Linked DNA regions of Anolis sagrei. The protein of the gene in region 1 purifies or fractionates together with the protein of each later gene. This does not show direct contact. Links are inferred from orthologs where the notes say so. Each region holds a gene or a part of one and is shown on either strand. Other genes may lie near its edges.

What was found.
Region 2: the proteins of EYA2 (region 1) and ACAD9 purify together in Homo sapiens (affinity purification with mass spectrometry; 3 studies listed by BioGRID and IntAct, with this or other methods). This does not show direct contact. The link is inferred for Anolis sagrei from reciprocal best matches to the Homo sapiens genes EYA2 and ACAD9.

The regions. Positions count from the first base shown.
Region 1 is NC_090024.1:219,245,026-219,254,136, forward strand, and holds the start of EYA2 (eyes absent homolog 2), read left to right. Parts: upstream 1-4,989; 5' UTR 4,990-5,037; coding exon 5,038-5,051; intron 5,052-9,111. UniProt on the Homo sapiens protein: Functions both as protein phosphatase and as transcriptional coactivator for SIX1, and probably also for SIX2, SIX4 and SIX5.
Region 2 is NC_090022.1:63,844,908-63,854,292, forward strand, and holds the start of ACAD9 (complex I assembly factor ACAD9, mitochondrial), read left to right. Parts: upstream 1-5,865; 5' UTR 5,866-5,917; coding exon 5,918-6,049; intron 6,050-9,385. UniProt on the Homo sapiens protein: As part of the MCIA complex, primarily participates in the assembly of the mitochondrial complex I and therefore plays a role in oxidative phosphorylation.

The DNA.
Region 1 (9,111 bases):
CTTCTCTCTGATTGTATCTTTACTTTGTAATGTCATCTCCCACGAGAAATCCCATGTACCAAATTTATTGAGATTTTGGTGCAAGGCTAAAATGCATGGGTTTCCCTATTTAGAAGCGGTTAGTTGCTACTGCAAATAATCCGATTGCTGTTTGTTTGTTGACTTTATCAGATGTTTGTTTACTGTGTATAGTATTATTGTTATGATTCACTATAGCATTTCAGTTTTTTAAAGTATGCCACATTTTAAGGAAACATTACCAAGATAGTTCACAACCATGGTATTAAATTCATAATCATAAAGCCCTTAGTTTTAGGTAAAGACCTAAAATGGACCAAATAAATGTTGGAATTAAAAACCTGATTATTTTATTTTATGGAGTATCAAGCATAGCTTTTAGAACTGTGGTTCTCAACCTTCCTCATGCCATGACCCCTTAATACAATTCCTCATGTTGTGGTGACCCCCAACTATAAAATTATTTTTGTTGCTACTTCATAACTGTAATTTTTCTACTGTTATGAATCGTAATGTAAATATCAGATATGCAAGATGCATTTTCATTCCCTGGACCAAATCTAGCACAAACACTTGATTTGCCCAAATTTGAATACTGGTGATTTTGTCATTTGGAAGTTGTAGTTTCTGGGATTTATAATTAATCTACAATCAAAGAACATTTTGAAATCCACCAACAATTGGATTGAACTGAACCAAACTTGACACACAGAACTCCCATGACCAACAGAACATACTGGAAGGGTTTGGTGGGCACTGACCTTGAGTTTTGGAGTAGTTCACCTACATCTAGAGTGTACTGTGCACTCAGATGAGTCCATAGTGCTCTCTGGATGTAGGTGAACTATAACTCCAAAACTCAAGGTCAATGTGTCTGGATCAGACTTGGCATGAGTACTAGGCCACTCTCAGTCCCATGTCGCACGGGGTTTTTCCTCCCTGCCATGACGGGACTTGATGGCATGAACCTCACTCCAGCCTTTCATGCTCTACCTTGCCCGCACATGCACACCACGCTGCCATGCGCCGACCATGCCTGCTCTCCCCTCCCTGCTTGGAGTCTCAGAAACAGCCCTCCCCTTAGCTGAGAAGCCAGCTGAGTGGCTGGCTAATCACCACAGGAAGAGGGCTTTTGGTGGGAGGATTCACTGTCTGTTTCCAAAAAGGAAGAGAAGGACAGGCGAGAGACCTTCAGCCTTCTCTGCCAAAGGGGTTTCTAAGACCATCAGAAATATGTGTTTTCTGGTGGTCTTTGGCAACCCCTCTGACAGCCTCCTCACAACCCCCTTAGGGGTCCTGACCCCCAGGTTGAGAAACGCTGCTTTAGAAGAAAGAAGTGAAACTAATTTCTTCTGTAGCTTTAAAATTCCAGTCTTCTTTTTGGCAGGCTGTCTCCTTGTCTTGCCTTCTGTCTTGTTTCCTTGTCTGTTAAAATTCACACAACCTTTTCTTGGTGCTCCTTTGGAACAGACAATTTTACTCTGGAACATAAAACAGCAAAAAGTCATTCTATTAAAACAAAACTGACACTTCTTGTTTATTCCCTAATTTTACTGCTATGATTACAATTCCATGTTTTGAAAGATTATTTTTTTCTTATTCTCCCCCCCCCCCCTCCCTCTTTTTCCTTCTTATGATGTTGTGGGATTTGGCTTACTCAAGGCTTGAGAGAATTGGAATCTATCTGCTTTCCCTGAGGCCTGTGTGCACAGCATTAACAAAGGAGTTATCAAATCCAAAAATCTGATGGGGCTTTAAAAGTTTGGTCATGTCAGCAGTAGACAGTTAGTACTCAGGAGTATAAACAGTCTGTGGAACTGTGCCCGCAGAGTCACCTTGGGAAAAAAAATCATTTTGCAGCTTTTGAAAAATTGTCAGCTTTGCAAAATAAGCATTAACTCGAGTTACAGGTTGGTTTGGGAGCAATGCCAAGAAGAGGGGTGAAAGAAAAATCATCATAACTAAACAGCTTCTAGGGGTTGTATATCAGATCTAGGTGCATCTACAATATAGCATTAATGCAGTTTGATACCACTTTAACCACCATAGCTCAATGCTATGAAATCCAGGGATCTTTAGATTGGTGAGGTATCAGCTCACTGTTTACCAGAGAAGGTTATAGACATTATAAAACTACAATTCCCATTAGTCCCTAACATTGAGCCATGGTAGTTAAATAGTGTTAACCTCCATTAATTCTACAATGTAGATGTATCCCAAGTCACACTATGTCAGGGGTCCTCAAACTAAGGCCCGAGGGCCGGATGTGGCTCTCCAAGGTCATTTACCGGCCCTCGCTCAGGGTCAACCTAAGTCTGAAATGACTTGAAAGCACATAATAACAATACTATCTCATCAGCCAAAAGCAGGCCCACACTTCCCATTGAAATACTAATACATTATTATTTGTTAAAATTGTTCTTCATTTTAATTATTGTATTGTTTTTAAGTGTTTTTTGCATTACAAATAAAATATGTGCAGTGTGCATAGGAATTCATTCATTATTTTTTTTCAAATTATAATCCGGCCCTCAAACAGTTTGAGGGACTGTGACCTGGCCCTCTGTTTAAAAAGTTTGAGGACCCCTTCACTATGTGGTAAATGTGTTTTATCAATAAGATTTTGATTTCTCTTTCTTGAACCTGTATTTAGTTGGAAACTTAGGCCCCTTCCACACATTGAACTGGATTATATAGCAGTGTGGATTCGGATAATCTAGTTCAAAACAGATATTGTAGATTATCAGTCTTGATATTATGGGTTATATGGCTGTGTAGAAAAGCCCTACATCAAAAGTACACCCAGACTGAGGGCCCTTCCACACAGCCCTATATCCCAGAACATCAAGGCAGAAAATGTCACAATATCTGCATTGAACTGGGATATCTGAGTCCACACTCAGATAATGTGGAATTTTCTACTTTAATATTCTGGGATATAGGGCTGTATGGAAGGGTCCCGTTTTATCTGAGTCCACACTTAGATCATGTGGGATTTCATGCCTTGATGTTCTGGGATATAGGGCTGTGTGGAAGGGCCCTTGGGGATTTGCAATTGGAAAAGAGAACAGACAATACATGGGTTGGAGCTCAATGTGAATCAGCCATGATTATATAAAAGAGCCGAGAACCATACAAAGAAGTTAGATTAAGCTGAGCAAGAGTGATTGGCCTAAGTCTCCCAGGGCTCTTCTATGGCCCTTCCACACAACTATTTATTTATTTATTTCGGGCATTTATATCCTGTCCTTCTCACCTCTGAAGAGGGACTCGGGACAGCTTACAATAGGCAACCATCAGGTGCCAACACAGTACATTAGAAATCACAGACACAATTAAACACAATTTAAAAAACAATTATAAAACATTCAATTTAAAAACAGTTCACCGGTTCAAATCATAGTCCAGGTCAATCCATTGCAGTCACTAAAACATTTCCTTTCCTGTTATTCCATCTATTGTTCAAAGGCTTGACCCAGAATATCAAGGCCCCAAATCCCACAATATCTGCTTCTAATTGGGTTAACTGAGTCCACACTGCCATATATTCCAGTTCAAAGCGGATAATGTAGGTTTTTGTTAAGATGTGTGAAAGGCCCTACACTGTCATTATATCCTAGGATCTGATCCCAGGCTTTCTGCTTATCCCAGATTATCTGACAGTGGGGACTCATATAATCCAGTTTTAAGCAGAACACCTGGGATCAGATCCTGGAGTGTAGGGCTAGGGCCTGTCTGGAAAAGCCCTCAGATAGCTTAATGCCTGACTGTTAATTTGAAGCTGGGTCTCAGCAATTTCAGTTTAGCATTCTGAACCCTAAATCAGTCAAGTAATGCAAAAAACAAAACAAAAACAAAACAAAAAAACCCCTAAATAAGAGAAACCTCTGGCCACCTGAAACATCATTTCTGGTTATCACCTGGCATAAGAGGAGTGAAAATGATAATCAGCATATGCCTACCCTTTGTGTAGATCAGTATTTTCCAAACATTAGTTCTCTGGCAGTTTTGGACTTCAATTCCCAGAAGACCCAGTCAGCTTGGCCAACTGTCAGGAATTCTAGGAACTGAAGTCCAAAACATCTGGAAGACCAGAGTTGGGACACACTGCTGTAGATCAACAAAGAACAAGTTTGCACCATTATCTTAGTGACAACCTTTGAAATGTCAGAACATAACTATAACATAACCTGGCATTAATCTCTGTTCCACATAACCAACTCCTAAGGAAACACATTTTTCAGACCCTTTGTCATCCTTCAGTCAATTTTTGTCTTAACCTGAACTGGACGCAGTACCCAAACGTAGGCTTGATCAAAACAGAATTGAATTGTGACATTAATTCTTGTGGACATTATATTCCTGTTTGTGCAACTCAGAATTGAGTTTGCCATTTTAGCTGCCACATTGCATTGCTGACTCATGTTTAGCTTGCGGTTAAGCATTATTCATTCGTAAAGGAATCTCCCATTTGGTGGTGTTTTTGTTTTTGTGGAAGAGGAATTTAGTGAATTCAGGAGGAAAAAACCCATATTGAACTGGAACATTTTTGTAAAACAAAAACATGTTTCTTTTTATGCTGCTTTGCGGCCTGCTTAAAAGGGCATTCTCCAAATAATCTTGCTGGAGCATTTCTGGTAAATTGCTGCAATTGTTTAGAAGAAAGAAACAAATACATATACTGTGTGATTCTTGCCATTTTTGTGGAGGGAGGGATAAGAAGATTGGATGAGGTTTGTTGGCTAAGTGATTGCAAACAAACCGTGCCAAAAGGAGAAAAGTACGAACATTATTATGCCTCTGATTTCCTATTTCCTTAATACGTGTTGACATGCAAGATGATTAAGCAGACCTTTATTATAATCTCATGAATATTGCGAGGTTAAGTTCCTCTGAGTTCACTTGGGCTTTCTAAGGAAGTGCACATAGGACAGCCTGGGGGTATTTCCGCTTCTGCAGAAGTCTTGGATGATCTTTGACTCTCTAGATATCATGGAACAATGTCCATAATCCACTGCCATGAATCATACTAGGTAAGTCTGCTGGGATTGAAGTCCATGGCCTCTGAAGAGCCAGGAACTCACTAACCCTGATTTGCCTTTTTTGTTAAGCATAGTCCCTAGCATAGTAAGAGTCACAGCGGCATCAAAAACTGGTGAATTGCATGATTGGTCTATTGAGTGAAGCATGAAACATAGTATTTTGGAACTGAAGACTTAAGAGTTGGCATTTTGGCACACAAAGTTTGAGATATTTTTGCAAAGAAATGCAGTATATAAGCTATTGTATATGTAAGACTGTGAATATGAGGTTTTTAAAATGCTTAGCTTGGCTTCCTTTCCCTTCAAAATTTCTGTGGTAAAATAAATCTGTTCCTTATTTGAAATGCTATGGTCACCTTTCATCAGTGACAAAGAACGTTGCATAAACAGAAGGAATTGTTCCAAATTCATATATGGAATTTGGATTAGCTTGCATTTATTTTACAATCTAGATGTTAAAAGCACTGCCTGATATTGGCCTAATTAATGTGTGACCATAATCAATAGGCAGATTCATCTGTGTTTTCAGCTTTTGGAGTCAAAAAGCAATTAATGTATTCAAGAAGATTCTGGATAATCAGAAGCTTCAATGCATCGAAGAGTACTATCTCCTACTTATATTGTGTTTGTGGTATTGCTGTGTCCCTAGAAAAATCTCTCATTTATTGTACTGTTTTCATTGGAATTTATATTCCATTAAATTTATATTGATGTTATTTATCTCTTCTTTTGATTTGTCCTGTTGTTCATTATGGTATTGAATGTTTGCCACTTGTGTTCTGGAAACCGCCCTGAGTCCCCTTGAGAAGATAGAGCAGGTTACAAATAAAGTTGTTGCTGTTGTTGTTGTTGTTAATCATCATCAACATCATCATTTTGTTTTAACTTACGTTGTGAGCAACCTTGAATTGCTTGTCAGGGAAGAGTGGATTACAAACAAAATAAAATAAATTGCTATCTTTGGATAGGCTTTTGAAACATAACCCTGCAACTTGCTTTAGCAGAGGGGAAAATGTGACAGATCTACACATTACGAAGAGATGTCTTTTTCAAACTACCCTCAGGTTCTGAAAAAGAAAACCTTCCCAGCCTAAATTGCGGAGCTCCCCCTTCCAGTAGGCAAAGAGATGATCACTTAAGATAGCAAAGACAGCACCAAAAGAGAGAGCTGAGCACTAAGCAGCTTGCCTTGTGACCTCCTAAATGTGCCAGGTTTGGTGGAGGAGGTCATTCCATCTCAGTAGAAAATTCTTCATTCATGTTCTTCTTGACAAAAACAACGGGTAATCTTGGTAATTTTTCCTCCTATGAGAAGGTCTTTGAAAACCATGCAGTTTTTGACATTTACTCAAGATTCAAAACTTCTGTGAAAAAACTTGTGTGTGGCTGTTTTGCCCATAAATATATAATGAATAATATTTTCTGCACAGAAAATGTTTTACAGTATGTACAAATCAACTATGTGTGAATTTTATGTAGAATGAGTCCCCAATTGTAAAGATTCTCATTAGTCCAGGATTCTTCTCATTAAGGTTTTTCATCACTCAAAAACATGTTTTTGACAATTTTTCAGTGGGCTTTTCCAGTTTGGATAGGCACAATCTTGTCCTTCATCTCACACAGTAAAATGTCATCAGCCAGCTGTGCTAAATTTAATAACATTAATGTGGCATAAAGTAGGGAAGGAAATGGGCCATTACACATTTAACTGAAGGTGGAGTTTGCAGTTATTAAATATTATACCTTTAAAAAATATTTGTATAAATGTTACCTAATTCAGCTTGTCTTCCGCTATAGCAGAACCCATTGGCATGCAATTATCTAGTATAGCAAACATCCTAAAATATCTCTTCAGCTGTTGTGGAGTGATTTGTGTGCTGTAATGTGGGGACGTATTTCTACCCTTGAGCACTGTGGGTTTTTTTAAAGATCAGGGTGGGCAACGCCATCCAGTCTAAGGGGCAAGTTTTCATTTCCAGGACCTGTTAAAAGGTAGATGAGAGCTGAAAACAACACATCTAGTTTCATTTCATGATTTCATTCCCACCCTCTCTCTCAACCTCTTTCTTCTCCACTTTCCTCTCCACATTAGAATAGGAATCGTAATAACCTGCAGGCCATGTGCATTCATTAGTGGAGAAGGGCCCTATGTGGAAATCAAGGGACACTGCGTAAGCAGATTGTTTTATATTCGGCTGATAGGGGATCCATCTCTTTGTGGCCTTGGTCTCTTTGGATACATCAAGATTCCGCTTGTTGAGAAAGAGTTGATTTCTACAGAGTTAGTCTTGTCCTATTTTCATCCTCAGCCCAATTCCAAAATGACAGGAATTAATTTCCAATTGGCAGAAATGTCACTTCCAGTTGTCACCAACCCTTCGGATACAGAGAAGGACAAAACAGATGTATGGATGAATGGATCTTGGATTACTGAATCAGAACAAAATTTCATCTATACATGTTTATATATGTTAGCATGGTTTCTTTTGAGGTTCTAGAATAGCCAGAAGACATGAATGTCTCAGTGCTTGTCCAATCGCATGTTGAGTAGAGATATTTCGAAGACATAGGGCTGACTAACATAGGGAAAACATAGATTCTGTAAATATTTTCTCCTGAGGCACCATTTGGTTGTTTTATTTATGGTATCAGAAGTGAACCCAATGTATAGTTGTAATGTATTTTTAAAAACACAGTTTAAAAACTTGGCATTATACTCAATGTCCTTTGACCAGTAGCTGGCCACTTGGAGTGCCCCCGGTGTTGCTATAAGAAGGTCCTCCATTGTGCATGTGGCAGGGCTCAGACTGTATTGTAATAGGTAGTTTGTGGTTTGATCTTCTCTGTACTCACATGTTGTGAACTCCACTTTGTAGCCCCATTTTTTAAGGTTGGCTCTGCATTTCATGGTCCTAGAGTGCAATCTGTTTAGCACCTTCCAAGTCACCAGGTCTTCTGTGTACCCAGGGGAGAGTCTCTCATTCGGAATTAGCCATGGCATGGGTTTTAGCCTGCCACTTTTGGACTCTTGCTTTCTGAGGTGTTCCTGTGAGTATCTCTGTAGATCTTAGAAAACTATTTCTTGATTAAAGGTGTTGGCATGCTGGCTGATATCTGAACAGGGGATGGGCCAGAAATGTCGCTGCCTTGGTCCTTTCATTATTAACTGCTACTTCCTGGCGAATGTCAGGTGGTGCAATACTGGCTACACAGTATAATTTCTCCAATGGTGTAGGGTGTAGATATCCTGTGATAATGCGGCATGTTTCATTAAGAGCCGCATCTACTGTTTTAGTGTAGTGAGATGTATTCCACATTGGACACACTGGCCATTTGGTCACTTTGAATGTCTTCTGCAAGGACAGTATTTTCAAACAGTCTCTATGAAAGTAAAACTGATTAATGAATTGATAGGTTTGCTACATTTTTTTCTCATAGAGATCATTTGTCAACAATTGCTGCAGAACAGGTTGAAATTCTGCAAATGAAGCAGTCTCCAGGCATAGTGACAAGAGTATATGTGTTGATTTTTGGCTGTTCTCCTGGAACAGTTAAATTCATAAGACCCCACTGCATGCATGCATGCGGTTTTATGTCTTGGAAGCTTTTCCCATAATTTGAATTATGATGCTATGCTGCTTATAATAGCCCTAGCTGTGGTAATAAAAACATTAAAAACAGTTGTACTCTTTGTCAACAGGATCAGAAATACAATATATGAAAGAATAGGTGTGCATTCAGAGAATTTATTATATAACAAATTAAAGCTCTTGTTATATATTGCAACATGACCATTAATGATGAAATAACAGGATGTTTTATTAGTTCTGCAAAGTTTTGCTATTATATTGAAATCAAAAAATGTTCCTATGAAGTAGGGAGCACAAAGTTTGCAGCTCTTGGGTTTAATTTCCAGTTCTGCTGTTGACTCTGTGTGACCTGGGACAAGGTACTCCAATACATAATTCTAGAGCCAGAGGCTAATAACTTTGTGCTTGCATATAAATTATGTAGCTTAGTGAATCTAAATGAAACTAGATAGCAAAGTGCA
Region 2 (9,385 bases), on another chromosome or scaffold:
ACATCAACAAATACTTTTAAAAACTTAATTTCAAAATAATCTGGATAGGCCTATCAGAAGAAACTAGTATTTACTGCTGATTTAAATTCAGACAATGTTTCAAGCTGACAAATCTCTTTGTGCAAATCATTGCACAGTCTTGGAGCAGCCAAAGAAATGTCATCTAGGTAAAAGTCGTTTTGACTGACTGAAGTGGCTGTCCCCCAGAGGCAGATTTTATGGGAGAAGGCAATGTTCTAGGTAACCTGGACCCATGCCATGTAGGGCTTTAAAGGTACAGTAGAGTCTCACTTATCCGACATAAATGGGCTGGCAGAATGCAGGATAAACGAAAATGTCAGATAATATGGAGTCTCCCACTGTTACCCGTCTGACGCAGCGCTAGACACCTAGAATATTAACAACAAGGACTCAAAGGGTTAAGGCAAGGCAATGCCTCGAGGCTAGAACAGCCCAGCAGGAAGTGCCCGTATGCAGAAGAGGAGTGTGGAAATCATAGAAGGAGGAAGGATGCTTCCGCTTCCGGTCCTAGCTCTTTCCCCCCTTTCTTCCCTCCTCCTCTTCCTCATCTTGCCTTTTTTTCACTTATTGGGAATGGAGAGAGAGTGAATTGAAGAGGAAATTGAATTGAAGAGGAATTCCTTGAATTGAAGAGGAAATGCTGGATAAAAAGGGGGCATCAGATAAAAGCATCTGATAAGATGGAATGTCGGATAAGCAAAGGTCGGATATGCAAGACTCTACTGTAATAACAAACAGATAATTGACAGATAATGGAATGATTAAAACTTGTGCGCCAGCTGCACCCGTACCTTGAGAAGTCAAACTTGGCCACGGTGGTCCATGCTCTCGTTACATCTAGGATAGACTACTGCAATGCACTCTACGTGGGGTTGCCTTTGAAGACTGCTCGGACGCTTCAAATAGTCCAACGAGAGGCAGCCAGGTTAATAACTGGGGCGGCATACAGGAAGCATGCAACTCCCATGTTACGCCAGCTCCACTGGCTGCCAGTTTGCTACCAGGCACAATTCAAAGTGCTGGCTTTGGCCTATAAAGCCCTAAACGGCCCTGGCCCAAATTACTTGTCCAAACACATCTCTCCCTGTGAACCATCGCGGAGATTAAGATCCTCCGGGGAGGCCCTGCTTTCCGTCCCACTCTTGTCACAGGCATAATTGGTGCGGACAAAAGATAGGGCCTTCTTGGTGATTGCTCCCAGGCTATGGAACTCCCTTCCTGGTGAGATCAGGTTGGCCCTCTCTCTCCTGTCCTTTAGAAGGATGGTAAAAACTTGGCTGTGGGACCAAGCTTTTGGGACAGGGCAATAAAGCAGCAATAGTTTCCTAAATTAACAGGCCAGTTAGATTTGACGTGGATGACTAGGACAGTTTTAAATGGTGTATTTTAATATTTTGATAAATGTTTTAATGTTTATGTATGCGTATATGAATTCGTGTCCCAGAATTGAATGTTTGCCATATATATGCTGTGCTCCTCCTGAGTCCCCTTTGGGGCGAGAAGGGCAGAATATAAATGTTTTAAATAAATAAATATTTTAATAATGGTGTGCTATCATTCCTAGATGTTCCCATGACCAATCTGGTTGCTATGTTTTGAGCTAGCTGGAGTTTCCAAACTTGGTACAGAGGGAGCCCAATGTGCAGTACAAATGCAGAAGATTTGAGCCTTGCGGCTACCAGCACATGCACTACCATCTTTAGGTCCTCCAGTTCTAGGAAAGGACACAGCTGGCGTATCAGCTGAAGCTAGTAGTCAGCACTTCTGAGTGTCATATTCATCTGGACTGATATTTGGCGAGACAGATCTGGCAAAACTCCCAACTGTGAATAGTCTTTCAGCGGGAATGTAACCCCATCCAGAATTGGTTGACACACCTCCAAACCCAGGTTAGAAGCCCTGATCATAATCACTTCCATTTTTATCTGGATTCAGTTTCAGTTTGTTTTTCTTCATTCAGATGAGACATGCTATCCTAAGCCTAGGCTGTTTTTTAAGGCCTGGAGAAATATATTTGGGACTCATCAGCATACTGAAAGCATCCTACCCCATATATCCGGATCATCTCTCCCAGCAGTTTCACGAAAATGTTAAAAAGCATTGGAGATAGAATGACACATTGTGGGGATCATAAAATTTTAATAGAGTTGGAAGAGACCACATGGGCCATTTAGTCCAACCCCCTGCCATGCAGAAAAAGCACAATGAAAATATCCCTGACAGATGGCCATCCAGCCTCTGCTTAAAAGCCTCCAAGGAAGGAGCTTCCACCACATTCCAAGGCAGAGAATTCCACTGCTGAACAATCCGGAAGGTCTTCCTAGTTTCCAGGGAAGCAGAAAACAAGCCTGCTCCCTCATCCTTATGACATCCTTTCACATATTTATATATAGTTATAATGTCTCCTCTCAACCTTCAGTTCTTTAAGAGAGGGTTGAGAGGAGACATTATATTAAAGAACCTTCAGTTCTTTAAGACACTCCTCATAGAGCCCCCTCTGGACACCTTCCAGCTTGTCAATACCTCCTTTGAATTGTGGAGCCCAGAATTGGACAGAGTATTCCAGCTGAGGTTTGACCAAAGCAGGATAGAGGGGCACCATAACTTCCCTCGATCTAGTCACTATACTCTTTTTGATGGAGCCCAAAATCCCATTGGCTTTTTAGATGCTGCATCACACTGTTGGCTCATGTTCAACTTCTTGTCCATGTAGACTCCAAAATCTTTTTCACATGGACTGCTGTCAAGCCAGGCATCATATAATAACTCTTTTTTTGAGGAGCAGCTATTGTTTTTGTTTTGAGGATGTGCAGTATTTTTCCAGCTCAAGAAAATACTGCTACAGAGAAAATTATTCATGCAATTAACCATAGTTGGAAGCCTACCCATATTCCCTCAGCCATCATTCAATTTGATTTTGTGTTGTTTTGAGAAATCTCCAAAGCTTTTTTAACAATCCAGTATCATGTAGAGCCTAGATTGGAAATGTTACTTTTCAGACCACAAGTCCCAGAATGGTGGCTGAGCACTGGACCAGATGAAGAAAGGCAACTCGACAAAAGGCAGAAAAGGCTATATATTTTTTAAATCCTTTCCTGAGAAGTTTCTTCCTTCAGGAAAGAGAAAATAAGCTTTCAATTATATTTGGATTCTGATGACAATTTATTATAGACTTGCTGTCCACATATAAAATTTATTACAAGATTCTGAACTCAAGCTGCATAATTATCAGCACATCAGATTCTTGCAGCAAAATATAATTAGTGTAACCTACCTTTGGCTTATTCTTAATTTATCTTCACATTCTTCATTCTGCTTTTTTATCTGCAGCATGGTAATTCCATGGTCATATATTTTTAAAGCTTTGAGTCTATTTAAAGTAAAAATAGGGAAGCGGCTTCATAAAGCAGAAGAAAAAAATCTCTTCACGTGAAAAGGTGGGGGAGAGAAGTGTGTGAGGCATTTAAAGATTTGATAGGCACCATTTGAATAAAGTCCTAAAGTGCAAAAATGAGTAAGAGTGATGCTTGTCCATCCCTTATCTGCAGCCATTATCATAAAAAGCAAGTGTGATGAGGTTTGATGCTGTGCACAACAAAGATGTAAGAGATGGCTGACAGACGCAGATTGGATTGTAGGTGATGGATTTCAGGTTGATGGCTATGTATTCTTGAAAGTAAAAGGGGTTATGAGATGTGAGGAAAATGTACATGAAAGGAAATATTTGTTGGGCCATGAATGGATTGTGATTCAAAAATTTAAAGTGCACTTTTTTCGAAGAGAAGAACCAAAGTCAGCCCACTAGCATTTGAGGCAGTCTATATCACAATTTGAGGCAGTCTATCCAGTGGGGCAGCGGGGTGAAACTAAGCTGCAGAACTGGCTGATTGGAAGGACAGCAGTTCAAATCCACAGACAGAGTGAGCCCCAGCTTCCACCAACCTTGCAGTTTGAAAACATGCAAATGTGAATAGATCAATAGGTACCACTTCAGTGGGAAGGTAATGGCGCTCCATGTTGTCATGCCATCCACATGACCAGGAGGTGTCTACGGACAATGCCGGCTCTTCGGCTTAGAAATGGAGATGACCACCTCCACCTCCACCACGCCAAGTAGTGACTTAATGTCAAGGGATACCTTTACCCTTACCTTTATACTACTCCTAAACAGTTATTATGTTAAATAGATGTATAGATGGAATTTCTTTTCTTCTAATTTGAATCCATTGGTGGTTCTATTCTCTAGAGCAGGCATGGGCAAACTTTGGCCCTCCAGGTGTTTTGGACTTCAACTCCCACAATTCCTAACAGCCAATAGGCTGGGTTGTTGTAGGTTTTTTTCGAGCTATATGGCCATGTTCTAGAGGCATTCTCTCCTGATGTTTCGCCTGCATCTATAGCAAGCATCCTCCGAGGTTGTGAGGTCTGTTAAGATTTATGGAGCTGCAGTCCCAGAGGGCCGAAGTCTGCCCATGCCTTCTCTGGAGCAATAAAACAGAAGCTCGCTTAACCTGCTTGACATTTCTTCAAATATTTAAAGACATTCTCTTCTCGAAGCTCTCCGTACTCTCTAAGTCTTTCCTCATACAGCTTTGCTTATCCCTTGCCTTTTCTTGCCCTTCACCGGACATGTACTACGTGGTCCATATCCTTCAACTATGATGTCCCATCCAGACATCTCACTACAGCAATACTGTTCTTTCCTCAAAGTAGTTGTGATAGATCATTCTTAGTTCTGATATGACATTACACACCACCAGTCTAAAGGGGATCGCACTCTCTGTTTCTCTCTCTGTGCCATATTCCATTGGGCATCTCCTTATTGACAGGCCTTCCAGCAAGGACCATCCAATGACAGCAGGCCTCCATTGATCCCTTGCACCCTTTATGACCAAACAGGCTTATTGGGTGTTTAGGTTCAAGTGGCTAAAGAGTTGGGTGCAGGTTTATTGTGTATGAGTTGGTGGGCAGAAGCAAACTTGCCCATTTTCTCAGTATCGTAATCACACCAGATTATAAAAGCACTACACTGGAGCACCTACATATACATTACACTAGGTGTGAGCCAACTTTGGCCCTCCAGGTGTTTTGAGCTCTAACTCTCAAAATTCCTAAAAACAGTTGTTAGAAATTGTGCGACTTGGAGTCCAAAACACTTGGAGGGCTGAAGTTGACGCATGTCTGGTCTACACTGTAGAATTAATGCAGTTTGACCCACTTGTGCCCACTTGTGCTGATTCAAATCTGGGGAGAGCAGGTTGAGCTCCCTCTGTCAGCTCCAGCTTCCCATGCGGGGATATGAGAGAAGCCTCCCACAAGGATGATAAAAACATCAAAACACCCAGGCGTCCTCTGGGCAACATCCTTGCAGACAGCCAATCCTCTCACACCAGGAGCGACTTGCAGTTTCTCAAGTCGCTCCTGACACACACAAACGAAACCCACTTGAGCTAGACTAAAATCCTGAATCCTAAAATTTTATTCTTTCTATGTAACTCATTAAAAATAAAGGTTGAGTTAAAAATCAACCTGGAATATGAAGGTAGCATGTGCTTGCTACACAATTATGACTCTATGGACGGCGTGACGTCACACTATTAGATCGCAGCGTCTAAATTTCCATGGCAACCTCCAACGGAATGCTGGAATTTGCAGTCCAAGGTGCTCCACTCAGGACACTCATTTAGACAGCTCTTGAGCCTCACTGCACTACAAGCCCCAGAATGCAACGGGGTGCAGTTAAAGTGGTAGGCCCGGCCCTGGCAGAGCAGAGTGATACCGAAGGTATGAAAGACGCTTGAGGGGCGGGGTTATCCTGCCGCCTGAGGAGTAGAGCAGGCACAACGTCATCACTGGGCGCCTCTTGCGGCCCTTCCTCCTTGAGGGCGAGCGAGCCATGAGTGGCCGGGGCTTGCTTCTCCTCCTCCGCTCGGCGCGGGCCGCCTTCCCCGGCAGGAGCAGGCCCTTCGGCACTTGCTGCCCGCGGCCTGCCTTCGCCAAGGAGCTTTTCCTGGGGAACTTCCGCAAGGTCAGCGCCTCCCTCGCCCGCCTCTCCGCCTTCCCGGGGCGCTCTCTCTTTCGGGGGCGCCTCGACACTGCGGGATGGAGGCAGCTTGGCCCCGCTTGAACTGCCGGTGGACTCCTGAGAGCCGAGAGCCTTCTCTGCCTCGTAGCCCTGGTGCCTCACCAAACTACAACTCCCAGGAGCCCATAGCTTTGAGCCAGGGCAGTTTAAATCACGCCAAACTGCATCCATTCTGCACTGCACATGCCTCCTTAATCATGGAGGAGACGTAGTTTTAAAAGGGAATTTTCAGAGATGTTCCCAATGCCCATTTGTCCCGATTTACTGCCAGATTGGCCTGTTTCTGCAGTGGGGCTATGTTTACAGAAAATGCTGCAGAGTTACTTTTCAAGGATGATTATGATGATAATAATAATAATAAACTTTATTTATACTCCACCACCTTCTCCCCAAGGGGACTCAGGGTGGCTAACGTGAGGCAAAGCCCAAAGAGTACAATAACGCAAAGTAAAATACATACAGTGTTGCATGCAGTCATGCTGGCCACATGGCCTTGGAGGTGTCTACTGACAACGCCGGCTCATAGAAATGGAGATGAGCACCAACCCCCAGAGTCGGACATGACTGGACTTAATGTCAGGGGAAAATCTTTACCTTTACCTTTTAAAATACATACAGAGATATTAACATCAAGTAAAATGCAAACTTTATTTATACGCCACCACCTTCTCCCCAAGGGGACTTGGGGCGGCTAACATGAAGCCAAGCCCAAAGAGTACAATAACACAAAGTAAAATACATACAGTGCTGCATGCTGTCATGCTGGCCACATGACCTTGGAGGTGTCTACAGACAACGCTGGCTCTTAGAAATGGAGATAAGCACCAACCCCCAGAGTCGGACATGACTGGACTTAATATCAGGGGGAAACCTTTACCTTTTAAAATACATACAGAGATAATAACATCAAATAAAATACAAACAATTGCAAAATAATACAGTAAGGTAAACACAGGGTGTGAGATAAAATAATTAAAAAGTTGAACACAGGATGTGAGATAAAATAATTAAGAAGTTGATAACAGTGCATCTGGACAAAACCGGCTTACTAGTGGATAGTTAGAACCCCCAAATTTCTCAGTCGCTCCAGAATTATGTTTGCAGCAGACTAACAGATAAGATTGATTTATTAAGACAGTCATGGTCAGAGAACAATGGACTATAGTTCTGCTATAGTTGTGTCATTGTTGGGGTCCCGCTGTGCTATTAAGTCAATCAAAATCATTAACAACCAATGAGCAACTGTATAGCTAGCTTAGACCAATGAAATGATTTTTCTTTGGAAATAAGACAAGAATGTGCATTCATTTTACTGCCAGAAATGGTAAAAGCTCTGCAGCCCTATTTGGGGATGCAACACACCCTTTGATTGCATTCCTGTACGCATGTTTTGTCGTTATTACTATGTCCACGCAATAAATAAGGGTTTTTTGCAGTTCGAAGATTCAACTTTTGTGGTGTCCTTCCTCGCCCTCCCCATTGGAAAGGGGGCTTCTGCTTGTTGAGAAATATTTTGGTTTCTTTGCCCCTACAATCAGAACTGATCAAGAACCAAATTGGTTGAAATATCTTCGTGGCATGGCGTTGAGTGTGTGTGTATTTTAGTTTTAATTCAGCACCCAAAAATACATTTCTAAAAGTTACAAAACTTTTTTTATAATATAAAATTGCTTTTTATAATATAATATAATAATAACAATCTTCCTTTATGCCCCACCCTATCTCCCCTTGGGGACTCAGGGCGGTTTACAGCAGATATCAGCAAACATTAAATGCCAAAAACAAAAATAGCCAACCCTCCAAATCCCAAAAACAAAACCACATCTACATCAAAAATAATAACAGATTATACTGCGGAATTATTAGTAATATTATATGTAACATACAATATGCAATTATAATATTATATATTATTTTGTACAATATTATTATACCACAGTATATAAATAATACACTACCAGTACATTATATCATCAGGTGTAGTTTATACAATATACAAAGGGCCCCCTGGTGGCGCAGCTTGTTAAACCACCAAGCTGCTGAACTTGCTGACTGAAAGGTTGGCGGTTTGAATCCAGAGAGCAGGGTGAGCTCCTCCTCTTGTCCCCAGCTTCTGCCAACCTAGCAGTTCGAAAACATGCAAATGTGAGTAGATCAATAGGTACCACTTCGGCGGGAAGGTAACGGCACTCCATGCAGTCATGCTGGCCACATGACCCAGGAGGCATCTATGGACAATGCTGGCTCTTCAGCTTAGGAATGGAGATGAGCACCACTCCTCAGAGTCGGACACGACTAGATTTAATGTCAAGGGGAAAACTTTTACCTTTACCTTATACAATATATCATATTGCAACATTGTTAACATTACATACAATACATCAGCATTATTACATTACAATGTTATTATTTCCATATAGTATTGTATTGTATATATTGAGGAGAGCAGGCAGCATGCTGGGTTGCCGCCATGCTTTGTCCCCTGACATCTCTTGGCCTCCTGTGGGGAGGGGAGGAGAGGGGAGAGGACCACCCGAGGGTTAGCTGCTCTGCCTGCACACTCCCGGCTTTTCTCTCCTCTATAATTGTAAATACAGATTTAACCAATTACACGGCCCACAAAAAAAAAAATTTGCACAGCCCTACTGCGGAATCATGAGATGATCCAGGTGTATGGCAAGGGTTAAGGACACTCCTAGGTGTCTTTTCTCCTGTAGCAAAGCTATTTTGGTTCCTGATAAAGGAAAAAAACCTGGGTTGGGAAGTGACTAGACCACAAGTAGGTAATGTCTTATGACAAATCTGACCGAACACAAGCAAGATTTGTTTCCCCCAAAGGACCATTGACAGTGTCTCATATCTCCACTCAGTAGCACTGTATGGATATAGAGGTCTGTGACCATATGGCCATTGTTCATAATCCATAAGTAAAATGGCATTGTCTTAAATAGATAAACATTTTTGGTTGCTTTCTTGATACCAAAGCTCAGCTCATGCATGTTACTGGATGAGATTATCTAAGTAATATGATAAGGGCACTTGTTGGGACAAGTTGCTTCAGAAGCCTGAGCTGGAGATCAGTGTACCCGTATTTAACGTGCCATTGAATCTAATGTGCACCTCAATTTTCAAAACCCTGGGGGGAAAAACTTTGGGGTGCATCTATGCTGTAGAATGAATCCACTTTAGTAGGAGCTCCAGACGCTTCTGAAGTAATTTTCACTTTTGCTTTGGCTCAGCATGAAGAATACCATATTACACCAATCTAATACACACTCT